Xenopus tropicalis: one gene and its partners. The protein of the gene in region 2 purifies or fractionates together with the protein of the main gene of each other region. This does not show direct contact. Links are inferred from orthologs where the notes say so. Each region holds a gene or a part of one and is shown on either strand. Other genes may lie near its edges.

What was found.
Region 1: the proteins of fus (region 2) and smarca4 purify together in Homo sapiens (affinity purification with mass spectrometry; 3 studies listed by BioGRID, with this or other methods). This does not show direct contact. The link is inferred for Xenopus tropicalis from reciprocal best matches to the Homo sapiens genes FUS and SMARCA4.
Region 3: the proteins of fus (region 2) and znf326 purify together in Homo sapiens (affinity purification with mass spectrometry; 3 studies listed by BioGRID and IntAct, with this or other methods). This does not show direct contact. The link is inferred for Xenopus tropicalis from reciprocal best matches to the Homo sapiens genes FUS and ZNF326.
Region 4: the proteins of fus (region 2) and khdrbs1 purify together in Homo sapiens (affinity purification with mass spectrometry; 3 studies listed by BioGRID and IntAct, with this or other methods). This does not show direct contact. The link is inferred for Xenopus tropicalis from reciprocal best matches to the Homo sapiens genes FUS and KHDRBS1.
Region 5: the proteins of fus (region 2) and ilf2 purify together in Homo sapiens (affinity purification with mass spectrometry; 3 studies listed by BioGRID and IntAct, with this or other methods). This does not show direct contact. The link is inferred for Xenopus tropicalis from reciprocal best matches to the Homo sapiens genes FUS and ILF2.
Region 6: the proteins of fus (region 2) and sf3b1 purify together in Homo sapiens (affinity purification with mass spectrometry; 3 studies listed by BioGRID and IntAct, with this or other methods). This does not show direct contact. The link is inferred for Xenopus tropicalis from reciprocal best matches to the Homo sapiens genes FUS and SF3B1.
Region 7: the proteins of fus (region 2) and dhx15 purify together in Homo sapiens (affinity purification with mass spectrometry; 4 studies listed by BioGRID and IntAct, with this or other methods). This does not show direct contact. The link is inferred for Xenopus tropicalis from reciprocal best matches to the Homo sapiens genes FUS and DHX15.

The regions. Positions count from the first base shown.
Region 1 is NC_030679.2:138,916,696-138,920,612, reverse strand, and holds part of smarca4 (transcription activator BRG1), read right to left. Parts: intron 2,476-3,917; 5' UTR 2,444-2,475; coding exon 2,237-2,443; intron 2,152-2,236; coding exon 2,019-2,151; intron 1,885-2,018; coding exon 1,510-1,884; intron 1,427-1,509; coding exon 1,328-1,426; intron 1,245-1,327; coding exon 986-1,244; intron 787-985; coding exon 660-786; intron 1-659. UniProt on the Homo sapiens protein: ATPase involved in transcriptional activation and repression of select genes by chromatin remodeling (alteration of DNA-nucleosome topology).
Region 2 is NC_030685.2:6,034,153-6,038,700, forward strand, and holds the start of fus (RNA-binding protein FUS), read right to left. Parts: upstream 2,945-4,548; 5' UTR 2,902-2,944; coding exon 2,889-2,901; intron 1-2,888. UniProt on the Homo sapiens protein: DNA/RNA-binding protein that plays a role in various cellular processes such as transcription regulation, RNA splicing, RNA transport, DNA repair and damage response. Binds to ssRNA containing the consensus sequence 5'-AGGUAA-3'.
Region 3 is NC_030680.2:105,533,923-105,538,329, forward strand, and holds the start of znf326 (DBIRD complex subunit ZNF326), read right to left. Parts: upstream 3,108-4,407; 5' UTR 2,893-3,107; exon of another isoform or gene 2,874-2,892; intron 1,349-2,873; 5' UTR 1,347-1,348; coding exon 1,261-1,346; intron 1-1,260. UniProt on the Homo sapiens protein: Core component of the DBIRD complex, a multiprotein complex that acts at the interface between core mRNP particles and RNA polymerase II (RNAPII) and integrates transcript elongation with the regulation of alternative splicing: the DBIRD complex affects local transcript elongation rates and alternative splicing of a large set of exons embedded in (A + T)-rich DNA regions.
Region 4 is NC_030678.2:86,520,741-86,525,267, reverse strand, and holds the start of khdrbs1 (KH domain-containing, RNA-binding, signal transduction-associated protein 1), read right to left. Parts: upstream 2,872-4,527; 5' UTR 2,868-2,871; coding exon 2,774-2,867; intron 16-2,773; coding exon 1-15. UniProt on the Homo sapiens protein: Recruited and tyrosine phosphorylated by several receptor systems, for example the T-cell, leptin and insulin receptors. Once phosphorylated, functions as an adapter protein in signal transduction cascades by binding to SH2 and SH3 domain-containing proteins.
Region 5 is NC_030684.2:144,160,492-144,164,960, reverse strand, and holds the start of ilf2 (interleukin enhancer-binding factor 2 homolog), read right to left. Parts: upstream 3,161-4,469; 5' UTR 3,106-3,160; coding exon 3,101-3,105; intron 1,385-3,100; coding exon 1,328-1,384; intron 760-1,327; coding exon 717-759; intron 606-716; coding exon 501-605; intron 414-500; coding exon 336-413; intron 1-335. UniProt on the Homo sapiens protein: Chromatin-interacting protein that forms a stable heterodimer with interleukin enhancer-binding factor 3/ILF3 and plays a role in several biological processes including transcription, innate immunity or cell growth.
Region 6 is NC_030685.2:45,929,902-45,934,495, forward strand, and holds the start of sf3b1 (splicing factor 3B subunit 1), read right to left. Parts: upstream 3,021-4,594; 5' UTR 2,929-3,020; coding exon 2,901-2,928; intron 431-2,900; coding exon 264-430; intron 1-263. UniProt on the Homo sapiens protein: Component of the 17S U2 SnRNP complex of the spliceosome, a large ribonucleoprotein complex that removes introns from transcribed pre-mRNAs.
Region 7 is NC_030677.2:31,429,893-31,433,809, forward strand, and holds part of dhx15 (pre-mRNA-splicing factor ATP-dependent RNA helicase DHX15), read right to left. Parts: intron 1,063-3,917; coding exon 726-1,062; intron 1-725.

The DNA of each region.
Region 1 (3,917 bases), on a different chromosome or scaffold from region 2:
GACCCTAGGAAAAGAATGGAACTGCTGAAACTGTGAAGAGCAGTTGTCTCAGCATGTATCTGCACAATGTTATAGTTAAACTACCACTTAAAGGGGTTGGTCACCTTAAAATAAACTTAGTATGATGTTGAGAATGCTATTCGGAGACAATTTGCAGTTGGTCTTTATATTTGTGGTTTTTGTTTTATTTAGCTGCTTTGTTCAGCAGCTCTTCAATGTGGAAGTTCAGTAGCTAACTGATTGCTAGGTTCCAATTTAATTTAGCAACCAGGTAGTGGTTTGAAAGAGACAGAAATATGAATAGAGTATAAGTAATAATGATAAAACTGTAGCCTCACACAGCAATATAGTTTTTCGGCTGCTGGGGTCAGTGACCCCTGTTTGAAAGCTGGAAAGAGTAGGAAAAGATAAAGGCAAATAATTAAAAAGACCAATTGAAAACTTGCTAGGAATAAGCCATTCCATTACATACTAAAAGTTAACCTAAAGGATAAACTACCCCTTTAATATCATGTTTAACGCTATAGCTAACCCACTTATTGTACAGCGCTGCAGAATATGTTGGCGCTTTATAAATAAATGTTAATAATGGCTAAAAACACTAGATGAAAGGGGAATATGCTCCGCCCGTCCTGCTACAACAGAAGGGAAGAACTTACTTGTCTCTGAAAATTGAGAAGCCTTAAAGCTTTCAGCTCTATGGTGGCTTTGGTCCTTAGATCTCCAGGCAAAGAACCAGGAAGATTTTCCAGTTCCTGGATCCTGTGTGCAATTCTCGCCTGCAGCCTGCAAAGGCAAACCATGTCACGCAGTTATATTAGGATCCCATACGCCATATAAGCTAGAGTAATATCTTACACAACCCCCTTCTGTGTATCTAGAGTAATATCTTACAGTTTTTACTTTTGCCAATATATTATTACGATGGATATTAAGAGAGTTAAGCAAACCCAAATGCACTACATGGTCACATCAGAGATCTCACCTGTACTCCCGTTCCTGTAGCACCTCCACAGGATCCAGGCCTCGCGGTTTCTGTATGGGAGTGATGCGGTTGGGCTTAGGGTGAAACTGTACTATGGGAGGAGGCTGAGCCGGCTGGCCTGGAGACTGTGTCTGCGGAGGCATCACGGGGGAAGCAGCCGGTGGGACAGCCGGAGGGGCAGGGGAAGGGCGGCCAGTAGGCTGTGGAGGAATCAGCTTCTGGGGGGCAGTGGCAGGGGCAGCTGCATTAGCCATGGGACCTGTGAGTGGGATACAAGGTTAAGACATCTGTACGGCCTAGCGCAAACATTCCCCAACTGATTCAGCCAATTACAAGATGTACCTTCAGGCCAAGGCTTAGGTGGAGCACCAGCAGGGTGGCCAGGCATTCCAGGTGGAGCTCCTGAAGGGCCGGGAGGTGGCATAGTAGGACCAGCCATTCCTAGTAAAACAAAAATGTTAAAACTTGTAATAAAAGCATTAATATACATTAAGCAGCTTACCTTCATCCCTCCAGGGCCTTACCATGAGGTCTGTTGTAGTTAGGGGGCACTGGGCCTGGGGCAGGACCAGCGCCAGTCCCCGAAGCAGCAGGTGGAGGTAGTGTTGGCATCTGTTGTTGCATCCCAGGCATGGGTCTCTTTCCCTGCACTGCCATCTGAAGGTGGTCGGGTAAAGCTTGCCCCCTGGCTAACATTTTGTAAGCCATTATCTGAGCCCGCAACTGGTGCAGCTGGTTCTGGTTGAAGGGAGTAGGACTTCGGCTTGTCTGCTGTTGTGGGTCCGAGTTCTCCATATTCACCGCTGATGGCCCAGAAGGCATCGGAGGGCCAGAGGGAGGACCATTAGATGGTACAGGGCTGGGCACGTGCTCAGAGTTGCCCAGAGGTGATGGGTATCCTGCAGGAGAGGAAAGACATTGCGATTACAGGCTATTCAGGAATGGGGAGATGGATCTGATTACTTGGTGATGGGTTCCAGTGCTAGATCCAAATCTTTGTGTTTGGGTCTTTGTGGTACCCGGCTGCACATACCTTGAGAGTGCTGGTCCATAGGACTGGGTGGAGGCCCCATCCCAGAGTGAGCAGCAGGTCTCATGCTCATACCCTTCATCTGATTGTATCGGGGGTCTTCAGGGATTGCTTTGTCATGAATGGAATCCATTGGCTGTCAGAAAAGGTTACAGAACAGTTACAGAAGTTCAAAAATGGTAACATTGTATAGGAAAGGAAGGCGTTGTGGCATTAGTCACCTTGTGCATCTGGTGCATATTTTCAGGTGGGTACCCAGCAGGTCCCTGTGGAGGAATAGGTGGCCCGGGGCTTGGTCCCATCATGCTGTGTGCAGAGCCAGGGGAGGGGCCTGGGCTGGGGCCTAGCATAGCTCCAGGAGAAGGCCCTGGCCCGGGGGAAGGTACAGGCCGGGGAGTGCCCCCCATTGGAGGGTCTGGGGTGGACATCACTGCAGGGAGAAGATCCAATCACTGCAAACCTGTAAGGGAAGTACATATTTTATGTTTAATGCAGGAAGGTTACTATACATACAATAGGCAATGGATAAAAGGCAGATAAAATCTGTCAAAAGATTTGTTGTGTCTGTTTTCCTCTGCCAGAGACACACAGCTCTCCCCTCTCCTGCTCCCTCCCCCCCCCCTTAGAAAGGTGGATCTGAGCCAATCAGAAGCTTCCTCATAGTCTTACTAACTGAGCATGTACACCGGTCTTGGTACAGGAGTGAGGTATTATGGGAATTTCTTTACAGAGCTCAGCGTTTTTTCTTCCTGTTTGGCTTCTGATCATCTGGTCGGGAGAAATACGGGGAGACTTAAGGGCACTATTGAGAGAAGTGAAGGTATGCCTGCAGCTTGGGATTAACTCTTTACTAGCCTTTCCTTCTCCTATAAATAGTTTAAGTCATGTATGTATTTTAAGGATTTAACCCCACAGTAGGGCGTATGTTTTTATTCTGGCAACAGTTCCCCTTTAATAAAATTAGCTGCTCACAGACAGAGTGAAATGACTGTTAATTACACGGCCGGTCCTGCTGCTCAGCCCAGTTACGGCACACTAAATGTACTAAATTAGGGCAGGAGAAGAGATGGAACAGCCTGTTTCCTTATGGAGAGATCCGGGCGTATCTGGAACAAGCTGCTCCTTTTCTCCGACGGCAGATGAAAAAGCACATGGGGGGAAATAACAAGCGCGGCTTCAAAGGCAGAGCGCATTAATTATTGATGTTATTTTATCGACGCCGCGGCAGACAAAGAGCAACGTGCGTTGGGCTTCCAAGCCAGGAAAATAAAAGCATTCAGCCCTTCCTATTAATACGCCCCTGCTCTAGCAAGATAGGACTGTCAGCCTTCGGCTCTATACAGAGTAACACTGAGCATTAAAGGGCCTAGCCCCTAGTCTAGGGGGGTCCCACCACTGCTCACACTGTGACCCTGAGGCATACTAACTCTAGTCTGTGCTAAGTATGTACTAAGCTTTATATGCAGGAACTGCCATACTGCTTACTTTAGGGTGAAGACACACAGAGCTACTAGTAGCAGCTACTAAAATAGACAATGCTGATCAGGTACTGATAATTGTCTCTACATGTGTTTTAGCAGAGGCAATTCTCAGTATTGTCTATGGCAGGGGATTTTCTGGCGTTTAGTAGACGTGAAAAAGTAGCTGCTACCAAGTAGCTCCATGTGTCCCTTAGGGTAAAGACACACAGAGCTACCAGTAGCAGCTACTTGTCGTGGCTACAAAAATAGACAATGCTGATCATTTACTGATAATTGTCTCTACGTGTGTTTTAGCAGAGGCAGTTCTCAGTATTGTCTATGGCAGGGTATTATCTGGCGTTTAGTAGCTGTGACAAGTAGCTGCTACTAAGTAGCTCCGTGTGTCTTCATCCTTAAGGCGGCCATAGACACTAAGATCCGC
Region 2 (4,548 bases):
ATAAGACATCAATGGTTTGGCATCAACAGAAACATTTGTTTAGCTCCCTCCCCTAAAAGTGGCCATACACGTACAGTTTTTAGTCTTCAGACGAACGTTCGGATATCGGTCGTATGTTTAAATGCAACGATCTAAAACGAACATGCAGATTGAAATTATAGGATAAAATCCTAAAAATATATCAGAGGGCGTTCTGGGCATGAAATAGTTGGCAGACACCAACCGTATGAAAGTGACTCCCATTGTAGGCCCCCCAAGGATATCGGCACATACACAATACATGCACAGATTTTATCCTTATCCAACCAAAATGTTTTATCCTGTCCGATCGACTAAACAACCGAACACCATGGTACAAAAATGATTGTGGTGATAATGTAGAGCCCACACAGCCTGAAAATCGTACAAAACTTACCACACACAGGCCAAATATCATACAAAACTACATTGTGATATTCTGGCCCTTATTTGGATAATTAAGGCCAGACAGGGGCACATCAATGCCATCGGTCGCACCAAAGATCGTCCACAGACGTTCAGGGCTGAATTGTCCGATATGGAGGTAGAAACAATAGAAATTCTACCCCCTTCTGCCCTGAACTTAGATTTTGCTTGGGTACCGTTGAAGGTACAAAAGCAAAATCAGTTCAGGGCAGAAGGGGGTAGAATTTCTATTGTTTCTACCTCCATATCGGACAAATCTTTTAACCTGGCCGATCAACAAGTCGACAGATATCCGCAGCCTTTTGCAATATCGGGTGCCTCGTCGAGCCGCCATACACACAAACCGAATATTGTACGAAACGAGGTTTTGTACGATATTGTTGGTGCATATATGGCCAGCTTAAGTCTACCCATGTATGGCCAGTTTATAGTCTTATCAGGCCATAGTCCAAAAAAATAGTGAATCCCTGTGAGGAAAACTTTCCTTCCACACCCAACACTAAATTAAAACAGGATCTTTTCTTAAATCAAGACCAGTGCATGGAATTACAGGGCACAAGTCTCTATTGTCCCTTTAATGGCCTTGGAACTACAACAAGGTCACTGAGGTCCATAGTTTCCTATACAAGAAGCCTGGGTGGGGGGGCGGGGTAAAATATATATTATATACACACTGGAACAAGGGCAGCACTCTTAGGATTTAAAGAATTGTGAGCAAAATTTAGATATAGAAAGGTTTATCACTCAACGTTTCGGCCTCACACAAACCTTCATCTGGAGTGAAGGTTGAAGCTTTCTCCAGATGAAGATGAAGGTTTGTGTGAGACCGAAACGTTGAGTAATAACCTTTCAATATTTACACTGCTCACAATTCTTTAAATATTAGGAGTGCCGGCCTTGTTCCAGTGCATTTTTTTGGTACTAGCACCCAGGTTTCGTTGGATTTCTTTTCTTAAATAAATTTATTATTTTTTCAGCAAAGTCCCTGTGTGTGCGGCCCACTGTTATATATATATATACTTTGAGAAAGGCTGAGGATCCGGCCGAAACGTTAGATTGACGTGGTTTCACAATAAAGGTATCTTATTTTTTCACCAAGTCCTGCGAGTGCGGTATATATATATATATATATATATTATATATATATATATATATATATATATATATGTGTATATATAGGTGGTTTGTCCCTGAGGAAGAGCACAGTAGGTGCTCGAAACGTTGGACTTTTTTTGTTCTAATAAATTTGTGATTTTTTGTAAAGTCCCTGTGTGTGCAGGCACCAGCACCTTGGGCATTTGAATTCTTTAAGGGTGTGCTTTATTTTGTTCTATATATCTATCTATATACACACACACACACACATATATATTATATATATATATATATATATATAATATATAAGGGATATAATATATAAGGGACTTGATACAAAAGAAAAAGTGGTTTTATTGAAAAAATTACAACGTTTCGAGCACAATCTGTGCTCTTCCTCAGGGACAAACCAACTGAGGAAGAGCACAGATTGTGCTCGAAAAGTTGGCATTTTTTCAATAAAACCACTTTTTCTTTTGTATCAAGTCCCTATGTGTGCGGCACTCTTTCTATTATATTTTTGTTTTTTGACCTGCACCAAGGGCATTTGGACTTGTATAGGGTGTGCTCCTCCCTGTATACTATATATATATATATATGTAGACACATACACACACACACACACACATATATATATATATATGTAGACACATACACACACACATATATATATCTACCCGCTTCTTACCCTATGTCTCAGCCAAGAATTTACTTTACTAGTTAAATCTGCTTAAAGATCCCCCAGGCAGCAGTGTTGCAGCCATTTACCAGCCCTACAGAGACTTATTCATGTTCTGCCCTGTGGGCAATTGACCAATATACTGATTCCCTCCCCCTAAACCACGGATAATGGTTTCCAGAGGCAAGATTTTTTTCTTATAACGTTACTACACAAAACACTCGTTTTCTGGGAAGGTTTATCCGGACAGAATGCCACGCATTAGTGCCCCACACGCCCAGCCCGCCCGGATACAAAATGGCGAAAGCAGCGCAGTGCGGCTACAAAATGGCTGCCAGCTGCGCATTCAGCACAATGGTGGGAGGAGCCAAGAAGCGGCGGGACCGATACAACGGGGAAAGCCTACAAGATGCACGCATAGTAACATATCCGCGATACCGGATACATAGAAACAACGAAAAATACACATAAGGCAAAATGGCGCCAAAGAACGAGCAGATCTCGTATCTTAATCCTGAGTACTACTTTGCTTCGCACCCTAAGACATATAACAAATATTAAAGCCTATACACTATGCCCGACTATACATACACAGCCCCCAACTAGCGCGAAACAAAAATATCAAAACTAGCAGCCGAGTACAAAGGGCGAACGTCAAGTAATTCCTTACCGTTGGTGGCCATGTTGCGGTATCACTGATGTTCTCCAAGTACCGCCTAGTAACCACGATATATCACCTCCGCTGCGCACTGTGCTAAGGCGGGGAACTTGCAGCCCTTTATATGCACTCGGGACAAACCATTACGCACACCAGAGGGGGAGTGGTTAGGAGGAAAGGTAGCGACGGCTAAAATACCGGATAAACGAGTTTAAAACAGAACTCTGTTATGTTTTTGTGAAGTCAATAAAGTTTTACCCGAAGCACTATAAAGCAGAGGCAACATATATAGTTGCTTCTTGCTGTGCTGGGTATGTTATGTGAATGGTATGGCGGAGGGGCCATTCTATGAAGTGATGTGTGAAGGGAGAGATGCATCTTAGTTGATGGGGCAGATGAAAATGTCATGTTGGGGCCCTTTTTATTCCTTTCAAAGACCGCAATATCAGTATATTTATCCCATACATTGTCCTCATCATGCTGCAATAAGAAGGCTTGCCCAGATTTAGTTGGGCAGGTTTGAAAATGACAATTTCCCTGCATACAATTGGACAATGGACAAATTTTATTGCTTTCAAACCTGCCCAATGGATTTTCTGACCAATGTTGGATGAAAAATCGCTAAATGTGAAATTGGTCGTTAGGGAGGGAAAAATCTTAGCATGTATGGCCACCTTTGCTATTAGCTGAGGCTTCCTACCCCCCCCCAAGCTTCATGGCTGAATAGTGCAGAAGTACCTTTGTCCCTTGTATGTATGTATATCTTTATAAAGCGCTACTTATGTACCCAGCGCTGTACAGTAGAATACATTAATACAAACAGGGGGTTATTAAGATAATAAGAGATAAATACAAAGTATAACAATAAATAAAAGATACAGTTGCAATAAGTTAAGAGTCAAAGGTCCCTGCCCCGTAGAGCTTACAATCTAGATAATCTAGACAATCTTGGCTCTTCTCGAGACGTGGGCCCTGGGCAGCTGCCCGATATGCCTGCATTATCTGATATTATCTGTCATTTATTGCAGGTCCAGAGATAGGGGTAGGCAGCAGAGGCACGTGCCTTGGGTGCAATTGGGGTGGTGGGGCACAATCAGAGGTGGATTGATTGGTAGGAATGAGCAGCAAGAGCTTGAGTGGACTGAGAGATGGGGGGGGGGGGGGAGCGGTTTGTGATGTGTGAACTGAGCATGGGGGTTTCAGGCAAGCAATGCCCCCTGTTCCATATGTCTGTCTATTTTCATCTGTTTCTCATTTTTCCTTAAGTCTTGATAGCTTGCTACTATCTATCTATCATCTATCTATCATCTATCTATTATCTATCTATCTATCTATCTATCATCTATCTATCTATCTATCTATCTATCTATCTATCTATCTATAATCTTTTATCTATCAATTTATCTATCTATCTATCTATCTATCTATCTATCTATCTATCTATCTATCATCTTTTATCTATCTATCTATCTATCTATCTATCTATCTATCTATCTATAATCTTTTATCTATCAATTTATCTATCTATCTATCTATCTATAATCTTTTATCTATCAATTTATCTATCTATCTATCTATCTATCTATCTATCTATCTATCATCTTTTATCTATCTATTTATCTATCAATAATCTATGTCTGTATATCTATAATCTATTGGGACCCATTTATGA
Region 3 (4,407 bases), on a different chromosome or scaffold from region 2:
TCAACAATTTACCTTTGCAGGAATTTATAGAGATACCGACACTCCTTTAGTGTGATAGTGGTTAGCATGAAGCTGTGACTCAGCAGACCTGTACTGTGCAGCCCAAACATTGCTTGAGACAAAGGGGCACTCCAAATGAATCCCTGGGGGAGATGCTGCATAACAGGTTAGCCTTAACATGCAAGCTTCCATTATATATTCACTGTGAAGTGTATACACATCAGTCTTTTAAAGTGGCTGAGTGCATAGCTTGCCTGTACATTTAGAATTGCCATCTGTCTGCAAATGCATTTGCACATATTCTGTGAAATGGCAAAATCCCTGGTGTGAGGCATTCCACAAGAAATCAGTTCTACTACAAGGTTCACTCCAAATTAAATCATGCTTTCCTCAATAAATAGTTAAGGTTCAAAACCCAACCACCCCCTCCAAAAAAAAAAAAAAAAATAAAGTGTTAAAATGGCAGTAATTACTTAGATTGGGGATTTTATGATTGGCTTCTGCTACACTTCATAAAGTCAGAATTTTTTTTTTTCCAGCACCCAGACAGAAGATGCTCTTGAAGAACTTAATGGGATACTGTCATGATTTTTATGGTATACGTTTTATTTCTAAATTACACTGTTTACATATCAAATAATTCACTCTACCATTAAAATTTTATTTTGAACCAACAAATTTATTCTTTAGTTGTAATATTGGTGTGTAGGCACCATCAGTGCATTGTGCCTGAGTCTGAGCTTTCAGAAGGAGCCATCGCTACATATTAGAACTGCTTTCAGGTAACCTATTGTTTCTCCTACTCCTTTGTAACTGAAGTCCTAAGCCAGACTTGGATTTTTTACTATTGAGTGCCATTCTGATATCAACCACTTACAGCAGCATGGGTGTCAGGTAGCTGCTATCTTTCTACTTCCCCGTTATTCTGCTGCTGTGGGGGGTGGGGAAGGAGGGGGGTGATGTTATTCCAACTTGCAGCGCAGCAGTAAAGTGTTACTGAAGTTTATCAGAGCACAAGTCACATGGCTGTGGTACCCTGGAAATAAAGAATATGGCTATTCCCATAAGAAATCTGAAAACAAATTATTAAAAAAAAAAAAATAGATTTCAATGCAGGATTTTCTGGAGAAACAGATGTGTTTTGAAAACATTTTTCCCATAGTAGTACTCCTTTGTTTACATAGACAAGCGCCTATACTGTAGCAGCACCTTTAGCTGGGAAAGAAACAAACAAGAACTATAATTAAAACAGCAGGTTACCTGTCACCCATTTCATCCACTGAATAAGACTGGTTTCCATACGAGTCCATACTTCTTTGGTTATATGAGCCGTATTCTCGATCCATTTCTGAAAAACAAAAATGTTCCCCAATATTAAATATCTGAGCAACATAACCAAAACCATTGTAACATACAACAAAAAAATGATGTTACGTTTTGCAGAGATTTTTTTTTTTTTTTAAACCTGGACTGGAGTAGGTGGTAATGGATTACATTCAATAGGAGTTTGATGCCGTAGAAATTAGCACCCCGTATTTATTTTATGTTTTGTTATCCTATATAGCCAAGGCTTGCAAGTGTAACCCAAGTGGGGTCCTCAAATTGAAATTCTATAATCTGACTGCAAACTATAAAAGGAAAATATACCCTCTTCACCTCTTGTATCGGTTATTGATTGCTTTATATGTTACTCTGTATGTCTAATGTATGTAACCCACTTATTGTACAGCGCTGCGGAATATGTTGGCGCTTTATAAATAAATGTTAATGTAATGTAATATACCCCTTTTTAACATTTAAAAAAAAAGAGAACACTTTCTACCCTGCCAAAAACAAACATGAGAGAGCACGTATGTTTACAGCTCAATCCTTGTTCCACTGTGAAGTGATGATTAATCTAGGACTTGAAGTTTCTCCGCATTGTGTGGCGCACAGATTCTTTCAAAAAACAAAGGGACTTCAAGTAGCAGAATCTATCCCTTCACAATGGAACAAGGTGAGGGGGGGGTTGAATGAAAGTGTGAGCCCAAGGGAAGGGGGTAGGAAAATGGGCCCTGAGAGCTCAGACATGGCCACCATTTTATTGCATTATCTATTTATCTATTTAAAGAATTCAGATAGTGCTTGCAAACTTTACATAGGCCCAAACAACTAAGCTCACGTCAAAAAGCCGTTAAATTCCCAACAGGGGGACTGGCACCTTCTACAGAACAATTCTCAACAAAAACCTGCAGACATCTCAGCCAATAAGAGTTCAAGCAGCTCCAGTCAGGGAGGCAAAGTGTGGGCCAGTCATAGCAGAGAAAGCCACAAACCTATAGGTGTATTGTACCAAAAAAAACCACATACCGTGTAAATGGTCCTATCACATTACTTTTAGAAGACAATGGAAAGGATTACTTTGAACTCTATTCTACACATATAAAAGCTATTTTTCAATCTCTCACGTCTCTAAGCAAGGCCCAACATTGCCTGTTGTGTTTAATGGAGCTACACAGCCATTAGCCTCCCGCACAGTGTGCGTTTAGCCACAAAGACCCGGCTGTTTCTAGTAATGGTGGCATTGCCACCAGAAGTAAATGCTTTACGGACACGTCTTAGTCTTTCAAAGCCAAACGAATGAGATGGGCCTTTCCAATATTCCCAATACACACACAGAGCGGTAAGTGCGCAGCCTGTAGCCAAAGGCCGGCGTTAGTAGTATGGTAGGTTCTGCTACGCTCACACCTTTCCCCACAGAAGAAAAACCTGAGAGTATAGAAGCGCTTGCAGAGCTGCGCACAAACTGCACAAAGGCGCGAATCAAACAAAGAAGCCGCCGCCATGTTACGTGAAATGAGCACCGGCCTTCTGCTTCCTTACAGCGGCCTTACCTAGGAAATATGTCCTCACCTTAAGCGCGCTGCACACGGAACACGTTTGTTGCTGAGAGGGTAGAACGCTGCTCGGCCTCTTGCTGCCCTGAACCCCTACTAACACCGACACTCACACAAGCCCGGGTTCTGGAACAATGAAGAAATGGAGGACACGGGACGTGACGTCAAAGCAATCACAGGGTCGCTTTCATTGGCTGGCAAGAAATGTGTCGTCACGTCATAGGGGATGGGCTATGTAGGTTAACCCCCTCGCTTTTGAAATGTACAGGGCCGGTGGGCGGGTTCCAGCCCTGCAGCTGCGTAGTAAATAGAATGGGCACGTTATTTCCGGGTTCCAGAACTCAGTCACTGAGAGGCGTGTCATTCAAGTCTACTTCACTAAGTAGCGCTTGTGCTTTCAAATAAATCTGCCTGTTTTTTTACAAAATGTGGCTGAATGTGAAATAGGAAGTGCTTTTATTTTGCAGCTTCCTGGCTGGTTCCTTAGGATTGTGGGATGAGAAGAAAAGAGTTAAGCAGTCCATGGATTAAGCTTTTGCATAATAATGACCTACATACATAATGAACTCCTCCTGTGTTTAGAGCTGATGCCCCCTTCAGCCTGGGGGGAAGCACCTCTAATACAGGCAGGGGAGTAGTGAGAGGAAGGAAAGGCAGGTTATAGTGGATTTAATCATTAGGAAGGTGGATAGGGCAGAGCTTTTAACCTTGGGAAACTGTCTTCTGGGGGATCCTAGAGTGCATTGCTGATATGATGTCATCGCACATGTTCAAAATGAGTGTGATGTCACAGAAAGCTCACTGCGCCTGCGGTAGATGTAAAAGCCTATTAGGAGGCCGTGTTGTAGGTGGGATTTTTCTAACTTCCAATTAATCAGGTTGCTTGCGTGGGGCTAGGGTTCTGCATGGAGTGGAACAAGTAGATATATTATTGGGAGGGGCTGGGGAAGACCCAGGGGGGGTATGTCATAGCCCCCTAATGTAAGTTAGAGAAAGAGGCTAATCTCATACCTCCCAACATTTTGAAAACGGAAAGAGGGACAAAAATAAATGCTGCGCACAGCGCAGTGAATTTTTTTGACCATGCCCATTTTGCAACCACACACTCCTATTTGACTAAATTTGACAGGTTATTTAAAGTTTGAACACATTTCTGGGGGTTTTGGGGTCTTGTTTTATGTGTTATTACAGTTTTGCTGAAAAAGGTGAAATTGCCCTTTAAGCTGCAAGTCTCAGTTCCCCCAAGAGACCAGTTTAACTTATTAGTTACAATTGTATCTCAGTGCAGGTGGGGATTTTTACCTTTCTGGGCTCTCTGCCAAAAGCTACTTATTTAATTTACTGTGAGAAACAATGTTTCTAAGTGCAGGTGATGCTGGTTAAGATTTCTGGGCTCTATGCCAAAAGCTACTTTTTAATTAAAAATGAGAAACAATGATTCTAAGTGCAGCTGAAGCTTGTTTAACTGTCTGGGCTCTTTGCTAAAAGCTACTTTTAATTAAATTTGTATCTTTTTTTAGATTCAGTGCAG
Region 4 (4,527 bases), on a different chromosome or scaffold from region 2:
TCAGCCTTTCAATTTCTGTATAAATTAATTTGGATGTTTTTATTATCTTTTAAACATTTTAGCACAACTGAGCAGTGGCAAGAATTTCAACCTCTTTTTTGGGGTATCCCCTACTAAAAGGCATCACAGCATAAAACAAAAGTGCATAGAGTGAACAACATTTTGTGTAGAAACCTACTGCCAAGTATATTTATTCTGTGGACAATCACAAAATCTATAGAAAAAAAACTTCATTTAATACGGGTATAGGACCCCTTATCCGGAAACCCGTTATCCAGAAAGCTCTGAATTACGGAAAGTCCGTCTCTCATAGACTCCATTTTAATCAAATAATTCAGAATTTTTAAACTGATTTCCTTTTTCTCTGTAGTAATAAAACAGTACCATGTAATTGATCCCAACTAAGATATAATTAATCCTTATTGGATGCAAAACAATCCTATTGGGGTTAATTAATGTTTTGATTTTTTAGTAGACTTAAGGTATGGAGATCCAAATTACGGAAAGACTCCTTATCCGGAATACCCTTGGTCCCGAGCATTCTGGATAATGGGTCCTATACCTGTACCAGGCAATTTCCACCCAGCTTAAAAAAAAAAAAAGACCAATTCCATCCATTCTGCGCAGAAGGATGGAATCCTCCCATCACCATGCTTATGGGGCAACATTTTGCCAGAAAATAAATCTTTTGCACTTTCTTGCCAAAGCCCAACAAATGCACACAGTAACAGGAGGATAGCATTACTTTAAGTGACTGCACAAGTGGGGCATATTGACATCAGCCTTACTAAAGGATGGACAAGAGTTCACCAGGGCTACCCTAAAATTGCAAGAAAGCTTCACTGTCACTGACAAACACTACTAATGCATTTCATTCTTATCCTTCTGATCTACCACCCCCCAAATCTGAACGGGAATACCCAATGCACAATAGAAAGAACAGAAATATAGGGTAATCTGCAGGGGAAAAAATAGCTACAGCCCTTCATTTTAAAACACAAGATTTGTAAAGACCAAGGAGTCGTGTGAGGATAAAAAAAAAGAAATCTGATTGGTATTATATAGACTTCAAGTTTACTTCTAAGTCTGTATTGGTATCGAGGCTACATTTGTAAAATTGAAACACTACATAGGAATAGTCGATCATTTTTTTTTTTCAATCATGCAAAAGACAACCGCACAACTAAGGAGTAAATGCATTATATTAATGCAGCTTATAACTAGGAAAAAATAAGCAAATGAAATCTTTGCCTTAAAAAAAGTCTTGGTTCAAGCCTTTGTGGTCCATCATAAAATCAAAGCACCCCTAGCTTCAAAAATACATGACAAATACTAACCATACAAATAAATGAAACTACTGACCAATCGCCATACTTCACTTCCAAACAGGTATTGCAAAGCAAACCAGTTTTTACACATATTGTAACCCCCACACAGTCCAATGCTTTAGCCAAACATATATATAGATCCTTTCATACAATACAATTGTAATCAATGTTAAAACTTTTCAGTTACAAGGACTGTTGGAAATGTTTAAGAAATGTTAAACATGTTAACATGTAGCAGAAATAAATTCTCTCTTGCACATACAATGGGGTTTATACCCTGACCTCCTCTAGACAAAGAACAGCTGCCAACAGAGGGAGGAAATCGTCAGTATCTCTCACAGAACAAAGAAGCTTTTATGTAGAAACCATGGGCAAACAGTGCCATTTGGATCTCATTCCCTTGCTACATCACAGAACTGGTAACACAGCATATATACATTGTACAGATTACCACAGCAGGTCACAATAAATGTACTCACAAGACAAAAGATATGAAACAAGCAGCTGCCCCCATATCTACTAATTTCCAAACAAATAAATAGGTAACCCTATTAATTTGTTTGTAGAACCACATGGTGACTCTACCTAAGCTGATCAGAAAACCCTGCACTACACTGATGAGCCCCAAGAAGGGCAAAACCGGTCTGTAGTTGGGAATCTGATCAGCTATTGTCCTGGCTTCAGCTTCAAACCCAGTGGGTGAGCTGTAGCCTACAGGATAAACCCATGTAAATGGGATTTTTTTTTTTTTTTTTAAGAGTCTGGAATTCATTACCAGAATTCCTTTTGTTTACTAATTTCCAACAAATTATTCATGTTTCCTAAAGAATAAGGACACAGCACCTTTTGCTATGTAAGGGATATATATTCTAATAAAGGGTAAACAGAAAGGCTGTGGGGGTCTGACTGAAGGCCATACAGTGTGATTTGGGGACAATGCATTTTCTCCATCAGATACTTCACGTTTAACATATCATTCCCTAAATATTTCTGAAACAATGATTATAAGACAACGCGGACTTCAATTAAAGGGTCTGGTCTTAAAAGGGATTTGGAAATGACAAAACAGTATCTAAGTCGGCCTGTATTGCACCCATGGGTTACACTGTGTGTAGCATCATACAGGGATATGCCTATGGGAAACCCAGTAGCAGCAACATTCGGAAGGCAGTCCCCCAATTTGTCTAACTTCGAACAGCAGCTGCAAAAACACGGCCGTGGGGGAGGGTTGGTCGACAAACCAGACACTGATCCACAGCATGCAGTGAGCTCAAAGCCGCCATTATTCTTTGCAACCTAACACACGCCACATGGCCAAGCATAGCAGGCCCGAATGCATAAAGGTGTTTTTACTCCAATCCTACTACCTAGGCCCCTGGCCTACTCCCTTTGTCCCCCTCACGCCAAACCCTTAAATGAATACACCCCGCCCGAGCCCGACTCACCCTTGCCCAGGAGGCTCATAGCGTGCGTGAAAGATGGGTCCAGGCTGTCCTTCTCAGCCATCAGTTCGGGTAAGTATTTGGTCTCGGTCTCCATGTTGCTCGGTTCGGTGTTACTGGTCGGCAATACGCTCAGTGCTGGTGTCGATAAGAAAATCCGCTCGCACTTGCACGGCCTCAACAAAAGAAGAGATCGTAGCTAGCACCGCCCACCGGAAGCAACGTAACACCACCTGGGGAGGGGAGAGCGAATTAAAACTGCGCGCTAGGCAACACGGGATTTCCGCTCCCCGTACAAAGAAATGAGACTTGAATGAAAGCGTAGTGTATTAAACATGGATTCTGTGTTTTGGATGGCTAGATACGTGACAAAAGATGGCACGTTGTTTCTACGTATAATGGAGTCTGGCTTGTTACTGTAAGACCGTAGCTTAATGTGACTTACACTGTAGGGCAGGGATCCCCAACCTTTTTTACCCGTGAGCAACATTTCAATGAAAAAAAAGCTGGGGAGCAACACAAGCACAAAAACTTGCCTAGTAGGTGACCAATAAGGACTCAGATTGGTTAATTAGTAGCCCAGTGTGTACTGGCAGACTACTAAAGGCTCTGTTTAGAAGTACAAATGGTCTTTATTCCTCCAAAACTTGCCTCCAAGTCAGAAATTCAAAAATGGGCACCAACTTTGAGGCCACTGGGAGCAACATCAAAGGGGCTGGTGAGCAACATGTTGCTCAGGAGCCACTGGTTGGGGATCACTGCTGTAGGGGATGAGGGGGGGCACAGTTGTAAAATCAAATGCCCGTCATTTAGAAAGGTTTCATGTTCTGAGTTTAGAACTAATTCTGGCTCCAAAAAAGAAACTTGCACGTGTGTAGATACGTTTCAGTGGCCTTGTAGCTGTAAATGTGTTCTCTTTGTATGTGTTCACCTATAAAGTATGAAGAATGAGACTACAGTAGAACCCCCATTTTAAGTTTTTCAGGGGGCCAGAAATAGATGGCGCAAAATCCCTGATTTTACATTTTCCCAGAAGTTTATTATTTATTAGTGGGACCAAAAAACGATGGTGTAAAATGCAGGAAAACTTAAAATCAGGGGATGTAAAATTGATGTTTCACTGTACTTGGCTGTGTGGTGTAATGCAAGTCTATGATTAGGAACCCTGTGTACCCAGAGAAAGTATTTATTTTAAGGACCTTGGTTCCTCCTTTTACTGGTAATTATATGGGCTAATGTGTTGGACATCTTATGTTCATGGTTATTCAGTTACAGTATATTCCCTAATTACTTTTGTCATTGCAAAAAAGGAGGTTGGCCTTTTATATAAGCTGATGCTGCATGGCTGATTATTAAAATCTGATAATTGCACTGGCTTTAGAGCTGCCATGTAGTACCGGTAATCATCTGTATTTATTACTAGTCAGCCTTATATTGTGACATTTATATTGTGTATGTAGAGTATATTGTGAGCCACAGAGCTGTCAATCACCCTTGTTTTATCGGGAGTTATCTTGGTGGTTCTCCCCCTGGTCTCCCATCCCCCAATAGCATTCTCCCGATTTTAAGCAAACCTCCCCAAGTCTTGTAGTGAACTCCAGCCCGCGTGTGCAGTAAGCATTCAATGATGTCACCTGGTACAATGCATCATCCTGCGCTGGTAGAAATTTTCGACCGCACATTTTTTGCGCATGCTTGTGAGGTTACTTCCGGAGTATGTGACTGCAGCTGCCTAGGGGGAAATAGTTGGGGCGCTG
Region 5 (4,469 bases), on a different chromosome or scaffold from region 2:
GTGACTGCTAATATCCTTATCATTTACAGTAGGGGGTACATTATCCCTTATAATACATGAGTGATACTCAGAGTTCCCTGTATAACTCAGCCTGCAGCCTTGTGCCTTTATATGGGGGGCACAGAACCCCTCAGTGACTGCTAATATCCTTATCATTTACAGTAGGGGGTACATTATCCCTTATAATACATGAGTGATACTCAGAGTTCCCTGTATAACTCAGCCTGCAGCCTTGTGCCTTTATATGGGGGGCACAGAACCCCTCAGTGACTGCTAATATCCTTATCATTTACAGTAGGGGGTACATTATTCGTATTAAAGACGTAGCAACTTACCACTTCAAAGTTTCCCGGGGCTACGATCAAATTGTCGATAACGTTGTTGATTTTGGTGACCAAAGAAAGGATTGAGGCCTGGTGGGGGGAGAGCACAAAGGGTATAATGAATATGGGCAGAGGCAACAGTGCCGGGGGTGGGGGGCAAGGGAAGCATATAGCTACCTGCTCGGCTGTGCTGGGGGCCAGATCTTGGTTTCGTTTGAGCAGTGACTCGCTGAATGAGCTATCGTCGGGGGCGGGTTTCACACGCGGGAAGGCCATTTCACACTGAAAAGAAGGGTAAGTCAGTATGTAAGCACAAGGATAGAGAAGATATATCTATCTATATAGATATATATATACATGTACAGAATGTGGGGGGAAGGAAAAGCCACTTACCACGTGGAAATCAAAGGGAATGTGAGGGACGAAGGGTCTGAAACTGTAAGAGAAAGAATAAAAGGGTCATATTTACATTAGAGAACATGTACCTGCACTGCACAATGTGGCTACTGAATAAGGAATATGGCTACCCTATGGCACAGAGTCAGGGGGGCTGCACCTTTACACGCAACTGTTAGTATGTTATACAATGGCCAATTCAATGCAACTTTTCAATTGGTCTTCATTATTTATTTATTATTTTTTCATCATTTGCCTTCCTCTTATTCTCTTCAGCTTTCAAAATGGGGGTCACTGACCCCGGCAGCCAGAAAACTTCTCTGTGAGGCTCCAGTTTTATGGTTATTGTTACTTTTTATTCCTTATCTTTCTATTCAGCCCCTCCCCTATTCATAGATCAGTCTCTTAATCAAGCCACTACATGGGTGCTAAGGTGATTTAGCACCCACCTAGCAACCAGATAGCTGCTGAACAAAAATGTAAATAATTAAAAAACTATGAATACAAAATGAAGACCAACTGCAAGCTGTCTCGGAACATTACCCTCTACATCACATTTCCACCCAGGAGCGACTGACGGGAGTATGTAGTTACAATAGGCAGCTCACCCTGTGTTAGGTCCCACTCTGGAGCCAAAGCGGCCACGTCCACGTCCTCGTTCACCCCTAAGAAAAGTAGAACAATTTAGAATACGTACATTTCTGGGGGGGGGGGGGGCACCTTAGATTGTAAGCGTCACAGGACACTTAGCTCTTAATCTCTAATATAACTACTTTGTATTTATTACTGTATGACCCTCTGTGTTCTACTCATTTATTATCACTATATCATTATTCAAACATCCAGCGCCCAATATTTGTTATCCGATCATGTACCCAGGGCCCCCCTATCCCTTCCCTATATATTAGGTACAGTACCCCCAGGGCCCCCCTATCCCTTCCCTATATATTAGGTACAGTCCCCCCAGGGCCCCCCTATCCCTTCCCTATATATTAGGTACAGTCCCCCCAGGGCCCCCCTATCCCTTCCCTATATATTAGGTACAGTCCCCCCAGGGCCCCCCTATCCCTTCCCTATATATTAGGTACAGTCCCCCCAGGGCCCCCCTATCCCTTCCCTATATATTAGGTACAGGTCCCCCCAGGGGCCCCCCTATCCCTCCCTATATATTAGGTACAGTCCCCCCAGGGCCCCCCTATCCCTTCCCTATATATTAGGTACAGTCCCCCCAGGGCCCCCCTATCCCTTCCCTATATATTAGGTACAGTCCCCCAGGGCCCCCCTATCCCTTCCCTATATATTAGGTACAGTTCCCCCAGGGCCCCCTTCCCTTCCTATATATTAGGTACAGTCCCCCCAGGGCCCCCCTATCCCTTCCCTATATATTAGGTACAGTCCCCCCAGGGCCCCCCTATCCCTTCCCTATATATTAGGTACAGTCCCCCCAGGGGCCCCCCTATCCCTTCCCTATATATTAGGTACAGTCCCCCCAGGGCCCCCCTATCCCTTCCCTATATATTAGGTACAGTCCCCCCAGGGCCCCCCTATCCCTTCCCTATATATTAGGTACAGTCCCCCCAGGGCCCCCCTATCCCTTCCCTATATATTAGGTACAGTCCCCCCCAGGGGCCCCCCTATCCCTTCCCTATATATTAGGTACAGTCCCCCAGGGCCCCCCTATCCCTTCCCTATATATTAGGTACAGTCCCCCCAGGGCCCCCCTATCCCTTCCCTATATATTAGGTACAGTCCCCCCAGGGCCCCCCTATCCCTTCCCTATATATTAGGTACAGTCCCCCCAGGGCCCCCCTATCCCTTCCCTATATATTAGGTACAGTCCCCCAGGGCCCCCCTATCCCTTCCCTATATATTAGGTACAGTCCCCCCAGGGCCCCCCTATCCCCTTCCCTATATATTAGGTACATTCCCCCCAGGGCCCCCTATCCCTTCCCTATATATTAGGTACATTCCCCCCAGGGCCCCCCTATCCCTCCCTATATATTAGGTACAGTTCCCCCCAGGGCCCCCCCCCTATATATTAGGTACAGTACCCCCAGGGCCCCCCTATATATTAGGTACAGTCCCCCAGGGCCCCCCTATATATTAGGTACAGTACCCCCAGGGCCCCCCTATATATTAGGTACAGTACCCCCAGGGCCCCCCTATATATTAGGTACAGTACCCCCAGGGCCCCCCTATATATTAGGTACAGTACCCCCCGGAGCCCCCCTATCCTATTCTCAGTAGGACCAGGCCCCCCGGAGCCCAGCACACAATGTGCCCCACAATAGGCCCCGGAAGGCGAGAAGGAAACCCGGCACCGCTCCCGGTCCCCCCAATCCCCATGGCAGCTCCCCACTCGGCCCCCGAACCCCCCGCACCTCATGTTTCAGATCTTCGTTCCTCACACTCCCGCACAATGGACAACCTCTCGGCCCTCGATACAGCCACACTAGACCAACAATCTGCTTTCCTATTGGCTATAACGACCGGTTCCACAGCCAATCAGCATCACGAACAGTCAACTCCCTCCCTCTCGGCGTCTGACAACCTATCCAAACCCGCTCGGCAAACGCATCGCTGTGACGGACGGGGACACTCACCAATCGCCGAAGGCGGAGTAAGCCCGCCCACACAGGACGCTACTTCCATAATGGCGGCAGATTCCACTTTTTCCCGCTAAACTTTATTTATAATCAACCAACACAACGCCTGGACAAAATGGCTGCTGGTATTTTTACTTCCAGTATTGCATTTGTATCGCCCTGTAAAGAAATGGCGCTAACAATGGTGGAAAAACTCTCACAAAATAGTTTGTTTATGAAAAATGTGCAAGTCTGTGAGGGTTTATTGGGGAGATACAAGTAATGGGGGGGGGGGGCTGTTCCTGTAGTTACCCCACAGCCTTTCCCATTCTGACTCCTGTAATACAGTGTGTGGCAGCAGTCAATTCCTTCTCCAGCTCTGTGAATCTGTTGGCTTCTGCTACATTGCTTCAGAAGTCAGAACCAGCAGGGCAGCAGACAAACACTGTAATAGCAACAAACATCTTACAAGTCTCTTCTGCCTTTTTCCAGCTTTCTAATGGGGGTCACTGACCCCGGCAACCAAAAAACAACTACTGCTCTGTAAGGCTACAATATTATTGTTATTTTTTATCACTTATCTTTCCATTCAGTCCCTCTCCTATTTATATTCCAGTCTCTCATTCAAACAACTGCCTGGTTGCTAAGGTAAATAAGACCCTGGCAACCGCATAGGTGCATAGTAAGAGCTCCAGGACAAAAACCTAAATAACTGAAAAACCACAAAAAAAAAGTTCATTTAAAGGGGAACTAGCCCTTTAACATAGATATGTTACTGCTGCATCCCCCCCATGAGGTTCCTTCAGGGGTATTTACATTGAAATCTGCCCCAACAGGACTCCGCCCTGTGCTATTGTGATCCGCACACACCTTTTGGTGCTACTGAGAGACACAATGTCCCAGCAGGGGAGCAACGGCAGCTTCCGCCCTGTTAGTACCTACCCCCAGGTTTTATTCATATTCACTGCAACCTGCAGAACTGCCCCGGGGGCAGATGCTACACTGCTGGGCCCCATCCTGCCGTTATTTAGGAATGAATACGAAGCTACAGGAGCCAAGGGTGCAGTTAGTATCCCGGCCGGGCAATGTGTATATACTGAAACCCCCAATTTCTGCATTTGAGCGCAGCCCCCCCCAATCCGTCGGAATATAAAGAGGGGGGGGG
Region 6 (4,594 bases), about 40 Mb from region 2:
ACGTATGCCATCCCACCGACAATTCACATTCAAGCCGGTGGGGTGGCATATCGCGGGCGACTAATCTCCCCGTCTGCCGTAAATAGATAAATTAGTTGGATAAGATTCCCATTGTATTTGCTTATTTGTTATCTGCTTATGTAACCTGTGCCTTTCCTCCCTTTTCAAGTCTGTATGGGAAAAATATGAGATATATAGTATAGGATAGGGCAACAACAACATTACTGACATTTCTTTAAACAAACAAAATTATTCAAACTTACATCATCTTGCTCATTTGCTGCTATAGATGTGACATATCCAGTAAATCTGCTATCACTTCCACCATAAATTTCTTGATCATAATATCCAGTAGAATCAAGACCAACTCCTTGTGTCTCATCGAGGGCTACCTTCTTTCCTTGAATTTCACGTATCTGTGCTTCAATATCTGATTGGAAAAATATATTAAAATATTTAATGGTACATTAGTTTGTTAGCAACTAGAAACCAGAGATAAAGAAAAGGTAACAATTTAAAAAAAAAAAAACTCACAACAAGCTTGCAAACAGCTCAATGCTAATAATTGATATGTAAATTAGGATAGAGTCTCAAAAAAAGAAATTCTAGGAAATTTAGTATAGGACAAATTTATATTAACTTTGGATGGGAGAAGACTAAGTTTAAGTTGTTTTTTTTTTTTTTTTTTAAGGGTATGCAGCGCTGTACAATCTTACAATATAAAATATTACACACAGGGAGGACAAGTGTTATTTATACAAGTATAAATACACAGGGAGTAAGTGCCATGTGGTATGAGACACAGTAGGAAGGAGGTCCCTGCCCTGAACATCTCACAATCTAAGCATGTAGATTATACATAACCCCAATTTTGAAGACACTGTGGTTTTCTTGATATGGTGTCTTAATTTGGATCTCCATACCTAAAGTCTACTAAAAAAAAAACACAGGATTTTTGTGCCTCTAATAAGTATTAAAGGAGAACTAAACCCTAAAAATAGTAGTAAACTGACTGCACTAGTCAAAAGTTTCAGCATCTCTATAGTAGCAATGATATAGGTCTTTACAGTTGTCACAGGAGCTTCTCATCTTGGATTCTGTTAGAACTGTCCAGGACAGTGCACATGCTAGGGCGGCTGTTGAGAAGCTAAGCTGAGGGGTTGTTGCAAATTATGAAGCAGAAAAAAGGCTGGCCTGTCATATAAACTAATGCTATAGGTCTGGTTATTAAATTCTGCTGCTAATTGCACTGTTTTCACAGCTGCCATGTTAACTGAATCCAAATGAATCACTAATCAGCCTTATACCGTTACATTTATATTGTATATATACAGTATATTGTGCGTCGGTCCCCAAGCTCAGTATCTGACAGCAGCACAAAGTATGTGCAGGGAATCAAGAGAATAGAAGATGAGGGGCTACTTTATAATTTAAGAGAAAAGTAGACTTTTAAAAATTTGAATTTTTTTAAAATTAATTCTATGGGTGATGGTCTTTTTGGATAATGGTTTTCCAGGCAATGGATCCTATACTCTCTAGGCTTGTTGTTTCAGATATTTCACTCACAAACAGAACCTACAGTATGAAAACCAAGGTCTTTACTTGTATACTAAAACAAATGTGTTAACAACAGTGGCGACAAACAGGCACCACCATTGTACAGCCTTTTTACATTGATTCGTAGTAGAGGAAAGTTCGAAAATTTACCTACACAGGTAGGGGATATCGGATTGATCTGATCATTTGGCTCTAGGCCCAAACGTTCAGATCACATTTATGGGATGCAAACAGTCGGGGATTGCATCAACAACCATTGCACTCCTCCCCCTGACTGGGTTTTTTTTTTTTTTTTTTAACCTCTCTGATTGAAATCTTGCCCAGATATTGTTAGGGCAGTCCTGTCTGAGGGCCCCATACACGGGCCAATAAACTGCCAATGATCAGCAGCTTTTTATCCCTCATGCACCACACAGGTCAGGCTATCATTACTTGCTATTTTCCCTGACCTAGGAGAGCAGGTAAATACCTTAGTTATCAATGTTGGCCAGATCAGTGTTGTGTTTCCTGCCACCCTGAAAAAAACAGTTTACTAAGAGCGGCGACAAATCTCCCCACAATGCCATCCCACCAGCTAGAATGTAAATTGCCAGTGGGGTGGCATACATGGCGCTGCAATTTGCTAAAGTTGCCTTGAGAGGAAACTTCGGCAAATTGCGGCGCTGCATATGCCATCCAGCCAGCGATTTACATTCTCAAAGGAGAAGGAAAGGCTAAAGGGGATGGGGGGCCCTTTCCAGGGGTACAAGTTAAGCAATTACAATTACTGGGGGGGTACCTAAGATTTAGCATCCCCAATGATTTAGCCATTCTTTCTCCTTCAAGGCAATTCAGCCTTAGTAAATAGGCACATAAGGCAATTCAAACTGTATGGTTAACTCCAGGTCAACAAACAAAATGATCAAACGGACTATTTGAAGTATTTTATCATCAGCCCACTGACATCTGAAATCACTTGGGCAACTAAACACGTTGAATGTCCTCGCATTCCACTGCTCTTCCTTGCCTTCTACACAACCAATAGAAACGTTTCGCCTCCAAAAACAAACAAAGGTTAGTACATTAAAAGACGTTCTCTGACCCTCCGTCGGGTCCACAATAAAACAACAGGTCACCGGAATTCATAAATATATTACAATCTTAAAAGGACAGAGTAACCGAAATCCTGTTTGTTTTAATCCAACTCCATTGACTATTCGCGTGTGCACAGAATTAATAGCCAGTAAGGCCTTCTCACGTTTCCCGAAAGTTTATAGATTCATCATTTCATGTATACAAGGCTGACTTACTAACCGAAATTACAAATTATCCCTTTCACCGAAACATTAGTATTCTATTCTTACCTTCGTGTGTTTTCGCAATTTTCGCCATTTTGTAAAACCGTAAAAAAGAGGCAACACGCCACCAAAGCTCCTCCGTAGGTAACTAGGCGCATGCTCTGTTAATACGTAGAATAATGGGCGGTCTCTATTGGTGGCCGCCCAGAAGCGTCACAGAATGTTTTTATGCTTTAGGTTTCCGGGAGTAAGATCCTGCATGGTGGGAGTACGTTTTGTGATCCGTAGGTTTTGTACCGTTATTCGGTACCGTGAGCGACGTTATAAATAGTAAAATTAAAATGCATTATATTTTCAGCAATACGTCGCAGCATTTTACAGTTAGTGAGGCTCTTACTTGATCTCACCTCTTACTTACACTTACCAGGTAATTTTTGCGCAAAGCGGTGGGTTCATATAGGTTAGCCCCACCACAATTAAAAGGACATGAAACGGAAATATATACAGTCCGAAGCAGCCCCGTGTACGGTTGAGATTCTGCTGAATTGGCCGTAGTCCAATTTAGTAAAGGCCATGATGCGCTCTTTGCACTAAAGTATAGTTGCGCTCAACACTGTTTTGTTGCTTTCGTCTTCTGTAGTTCGCACAGTGGTACCCACTGATGCAGGGGAGACCTAGATCTACATCACCTACGCCAGCATTTGAAGGACTATAAAGCTGCTGTTGGGTCATTAATTAGATACTTCACCCAGGGCCAACTCTCCATCTCTACATGCCCAAAATAGATTTTCTACTTTTTGTTACTCCTGTCTCCTTTTCTGTATTTTGCACAGTGACGCCCATTGATTCAGGGGAGCTCTGAAGCTACACCACCTCCAAACCAGCTGATAGTGCCAGGGTTACCACACTGGCCTGTTTAAATCAAAGCAGCAAAGTTATGCCAAAAGAATTTCAGCATTTGTTTGAGGGATAAAGTTGCTGTTGTGCAAGTGTACAGCTTGCAATAAGTTGGCTCCAGTCAGTTATGTAAAAAATCCCATTTATTAAAGGTCATCATGATTGCCTTGCTGATCAGATTCTGCTAAATTGGCTGTAGTCGGTTATGCGCAAAATCCAATTTAGTAAAGGCCATGATGCGCTCCTTGCACTAAAGTATAGTTGTGCTCAGCACCATTCTGTTGCTCCCATCTTCTGTAGTTCGCACAGTGGTGCTCACTGACACAGGGGAGCCCTAAAGCTACATCACCTATGCCAGCATTTGTTTGAGGGACTATAAAGTTGCTGTTGGGACCTTAATTAGCAACTTCACCCAGGGCCAACTCTCAAACTCTACATCCCCAAAATAGACTTTCTACTGCTAGTTTGTCCCCATATCACAGTCAGTCCTTCAAATTATTGTTCCCCAGTGGTTTTCTCTACTGCAGGGTTTTCCTCTTCCAAGTCTTCAATGATGACTGAAGTATGCCCCACCCAAGATACTACAATATTGTAAAAGCAGTGTGTATTTTTATAATTTCTCTGATCTTGATCAGTTCTTTTCCTTAGGGTGCCCTAATGTAAGAATAATTTGGGCATTTTTATCCCCAGTAAAAAGTTCCTGTTTGACCAGTGTGATTCTCAAGGGCTGATGAGGAATGTTCCCTTTAGGCTATATCCCTTTTGGGGTCCTGGCACTTTGTGTGCAGAACTGACAGAAACCTGCACACTTTGAATCAGGACCACAGTAAACAAAGAGTAAAAGACTACTTTTGGTCACTTTC
Region 7 (3,917 bases), on a different chromosome or scaffold from region 2:
ACAACGGGTGCAAAAGCAACAAGGCATGCAGAGGGGTGGGCTCCGGAGACCCCCAATCCGACCCTGATAGGATAATATAGGAGAGCATCACAGTATTCACTAAAACTAAAACAATTAACATTTTCCTCTATGTTTTGATGATGGGATCCAGGTCTAATGCTCTTTCTTTCTGCCAACCCTAAAACAATCCCTGTGCCAGTCAGGATTTTGATGCTTGGGGGGCAGAGGAATGATGGTTATATGCTATTTCTATATTAATACAGTAGATGTTAAATCAATAGTTATATTATTTGTACCCTACTTTTATACCAAGTGTTGACTGACCACGCAAAAAACTTCTTGGGTTAACCTCTTCACTACCTTCTGCTATTTGACAAGCACTCAAGTCTTTGGCCTAAACTAAAACCTTGCTCTTATTCCTTAAAACAATCCCCTTATCCTATGCCACCTAGACTACTGCAAACTACATTTAGAGCACTAACAAAATATATGAAAATCTGACTAATAATGGGTTAATGCCCTACCCAATGTGAAGAACAGTACTGATTACTATACTATGTGTGCCCTTATATTAACCACCGACTGTAAGGTCTATGCAGCAGGGACCACCTTCATTCTATGATAATTATTCTTTGAAATAAATATACAGTTTGCTTTATTGTTATATTTGTATAACACAAAAATAATCCTTGCCAGAAAAGCTAAATGCAGGCAAAATAAAATACCTGAGTAGTTTTCCCAGATCCAGTCTCACCAACCAATACAAAGCTCTGGTTCTTCATAAGAATTTCAGTAAACCGTTCTTTGTATTCCCATACTGGCAACAGTAGCCTCTTTTTTAAGATGTCATAGTAGCGCGGAGTGTGGGGTAAGTTGGTAAAGGGATTAATGCCTTGAGCAACCGCTGCAGGTTTTAGAGGTGGCATTCCACTAGCTGTAATATACGTAGAATTGGATGACCCACGTGAGTCTTTATCCTTGTCTCTGTCCCTTTCCCGATCCCTATCTCTGTCACGGTCCCGGTCCTTAGATCGGTCATCTCTCTCTCGATCTCTGTCTTTTCTAGGGATTGAAAAACAATTTGTGTTATTATCACAGGTAAGATTATCTATAATCAAAAATGTATATATATATAAAAAGTCTTAAGTTTGCCCACATCTAGTGACCAGCAACCAGATATTTGTTCTCAACTGGGGCCCTTTCCTTTCCATCTAATTTATGGCAGTTGGTAAAGACAGGACTGGCCTGCATTTGCCAAAGCTGTGCTCTGCACTTTGCAATGGATTTTTTATCTGGACAAATAGTTACTGGCCACCTTGCCATTGAGACTTTACAACAATATAGAGCCGCTGACTGCTATTCAACTTTGCAGACCATACCTGCAGCATTGTAGTTACGGGCCAATATATGGCTCTGGAAGATTGGGTATAATAGAGCAGAATACAGTTGCAGGGTACTATGTCATTCAGTAGTGTACATCCAGAATATTACATTGGTGATCGAGTCATTAAGAGAAGAGTATCTATGACACTAGTACACTACCAGTCCAGGTGCCTAGTAGGAATCTTGACAGATGACCTTTATAAGGATTCCATGGCCATAGGGTTCCTTTTTATCATTTAAATAACAGCAATTTTTATTGACTCGGCTCTGAAGTTTATTACACGCACAGCTCATATACCTTGCACTGTATTGTTGGCACAGTTAATGTAATGCTGTCTGTTTGCAGGTACACAAGCCCATTCTCATGTACAAATGAACACCGACACTACCGAGCATGTATCTAACCTCATAAGACTACAATGTACAGTTTAGAATTTCTCACAGCTCAAAAAGCTCTATACTCAATTTACTAAAATTATTTTAAAATGTTGTCAACCACCCACATCACCATTATGCCCTCTGCAAACAGCCTAGTATCCTGCATGTCTTAAAAGCTTCAGAAGCAATATTAAACTCTTCATACCCGGTTTTGCTTCACAAAATCCTCCCCAACCATTATCACAAAGTATGAGGGGTTACGTTTACCTGGGCTGTCCTGGTAAGCACAGACATATTTGTCACTACAGGTATAGGATCTGTTATTTGGAAACCCATTATCCAGAAAGTTCAGAATTACGGAAAGGCCATCTCCCATAGACTCCATTATAAGCAAATAATTTTAATTTTTGAAATTGATTTCCTACTGGGTTTATTCAATATTTAAATGATTTTTTTAGCAGACTTAAGTTATGGAGATCCAAATTACGGAAAGATCCCTTATCCAGAAAACCCCAGGTCCCGAGCATTCTGGATAATAGGTCCCACACCTGTACTAACATTCTGCTGGCCAAGTGACATACTAAGCTGCAGCACATATATTGTGTCTACAGACAGTACATGTGGGCTACTAAACATCTCTCACTGGCAAAAAGTAATTTTTATTTATCTATCAATATAACTTTTTGATAATGCATAATATCTAACAAGTGACTGTTTTATATAGTCAGCAATTGGTTCTGAAATGCAATTATTAAAAGGTGCATAAAAAATAGACAATACCAATTTGTAATGAGTATTTTATTAAGCAGAAACCAAAGACAAAGTATTTAAGGTCCCGGACACATAGAAAATTAATCTCTTTCAAAATACCTCCTTATGCATTTTCGCAAACGGGATTTTCGGTAGTACAATAAACCACCCTGTGTAAAAGGGCCCTAACGAGAAGCAGACCTTTAATAAAGCTGCCCTAAATACAGTCAAATTTAAAAAACTCCTGCTTATAGCACTATACTAACAGATAAGCCCACGCATATGTCAGCACTTCCTCGTAATGCTTTATATTTACAGTGCTACAAATAAACTTGAAGACCATGCTGTAGCAGACCTGCCGATGCCAACCAAGAGCAAAATAAGTTCTGTGGCCACTTAATGGACACCTATGACAATGAAATGTCTTCTCCCACCAGAGGTGAGGGCTAATAAAGCCCACACTGTGGTTGGGTGGAAACAATAGCCCTCGCTGGCACTAGGTCGCCTACACAGAGTGGGAGCTCCCAGTGTGGACAGCCAGGTTCACTCATTATGCGCACCACCTGCTTAGCCAATACGCACCCTTACAGCCTTAAATTACACATAGTCAGCTGTACAGATTAAAGGCAGCCATACCAGGGCCGATTCTGTACAGTAATGTGCCAAATATCCATGCATCTATACAAATAAAAACCACATTCAGAGAGGCACGGGAACAGCTCTAAGCAAATTTCTTTATGTTCTTATCTTCTGGCCAAATAATTAGACCAGTTTCTACTGAGGTTTAATCTGTCAAAAAAATCTGCAAAAGTAAGAACAGTGAGAGACCATCAATGATTTTTTGCTGATCCCTAAGCCCACCTTCTCAACAACAGGCCAAAGCACACTGAACATGAGCAGTGTCACCAAGATGATTGGCTTCTGTGTACAACTTTGCCCAGTCAGGATCAATTCCTCACAAGCAATGGAACAGCAAACATGATGCATTTAACTAAAGCATTTACAAGCTATAAACAAAATGTGCACATATTAGTGCAACCTAACAGGCAAAGTCAAACAGCTAAAATGTTAAAGGGGTTGTTCACCTATAAATTAACTTTTAGTATGTTGCAGACAGTGATCTTCTGACACTGTTTACAATTGGTCTTCATTTTATATTTATGGGTTTTCGGTTATGTAGGTTTTTGTTCAGCAAGCCACCAAACTTGATGTTTCAACAGCTATCTGGTTGCTAGGTTCTCATGTTTGCTAGCAACCAGGCAGTAGTTTAACAGACTTAAATAAGAATGGCATAGATCACCTTAGAATTAAATTTAAGTATGATGTAGACATTGGTATACTAAGCTAATTTGCAACCGGTCTTAATTTTTTTTTTTTTTAAATAATTTAGCTTTTTATTCAGCATA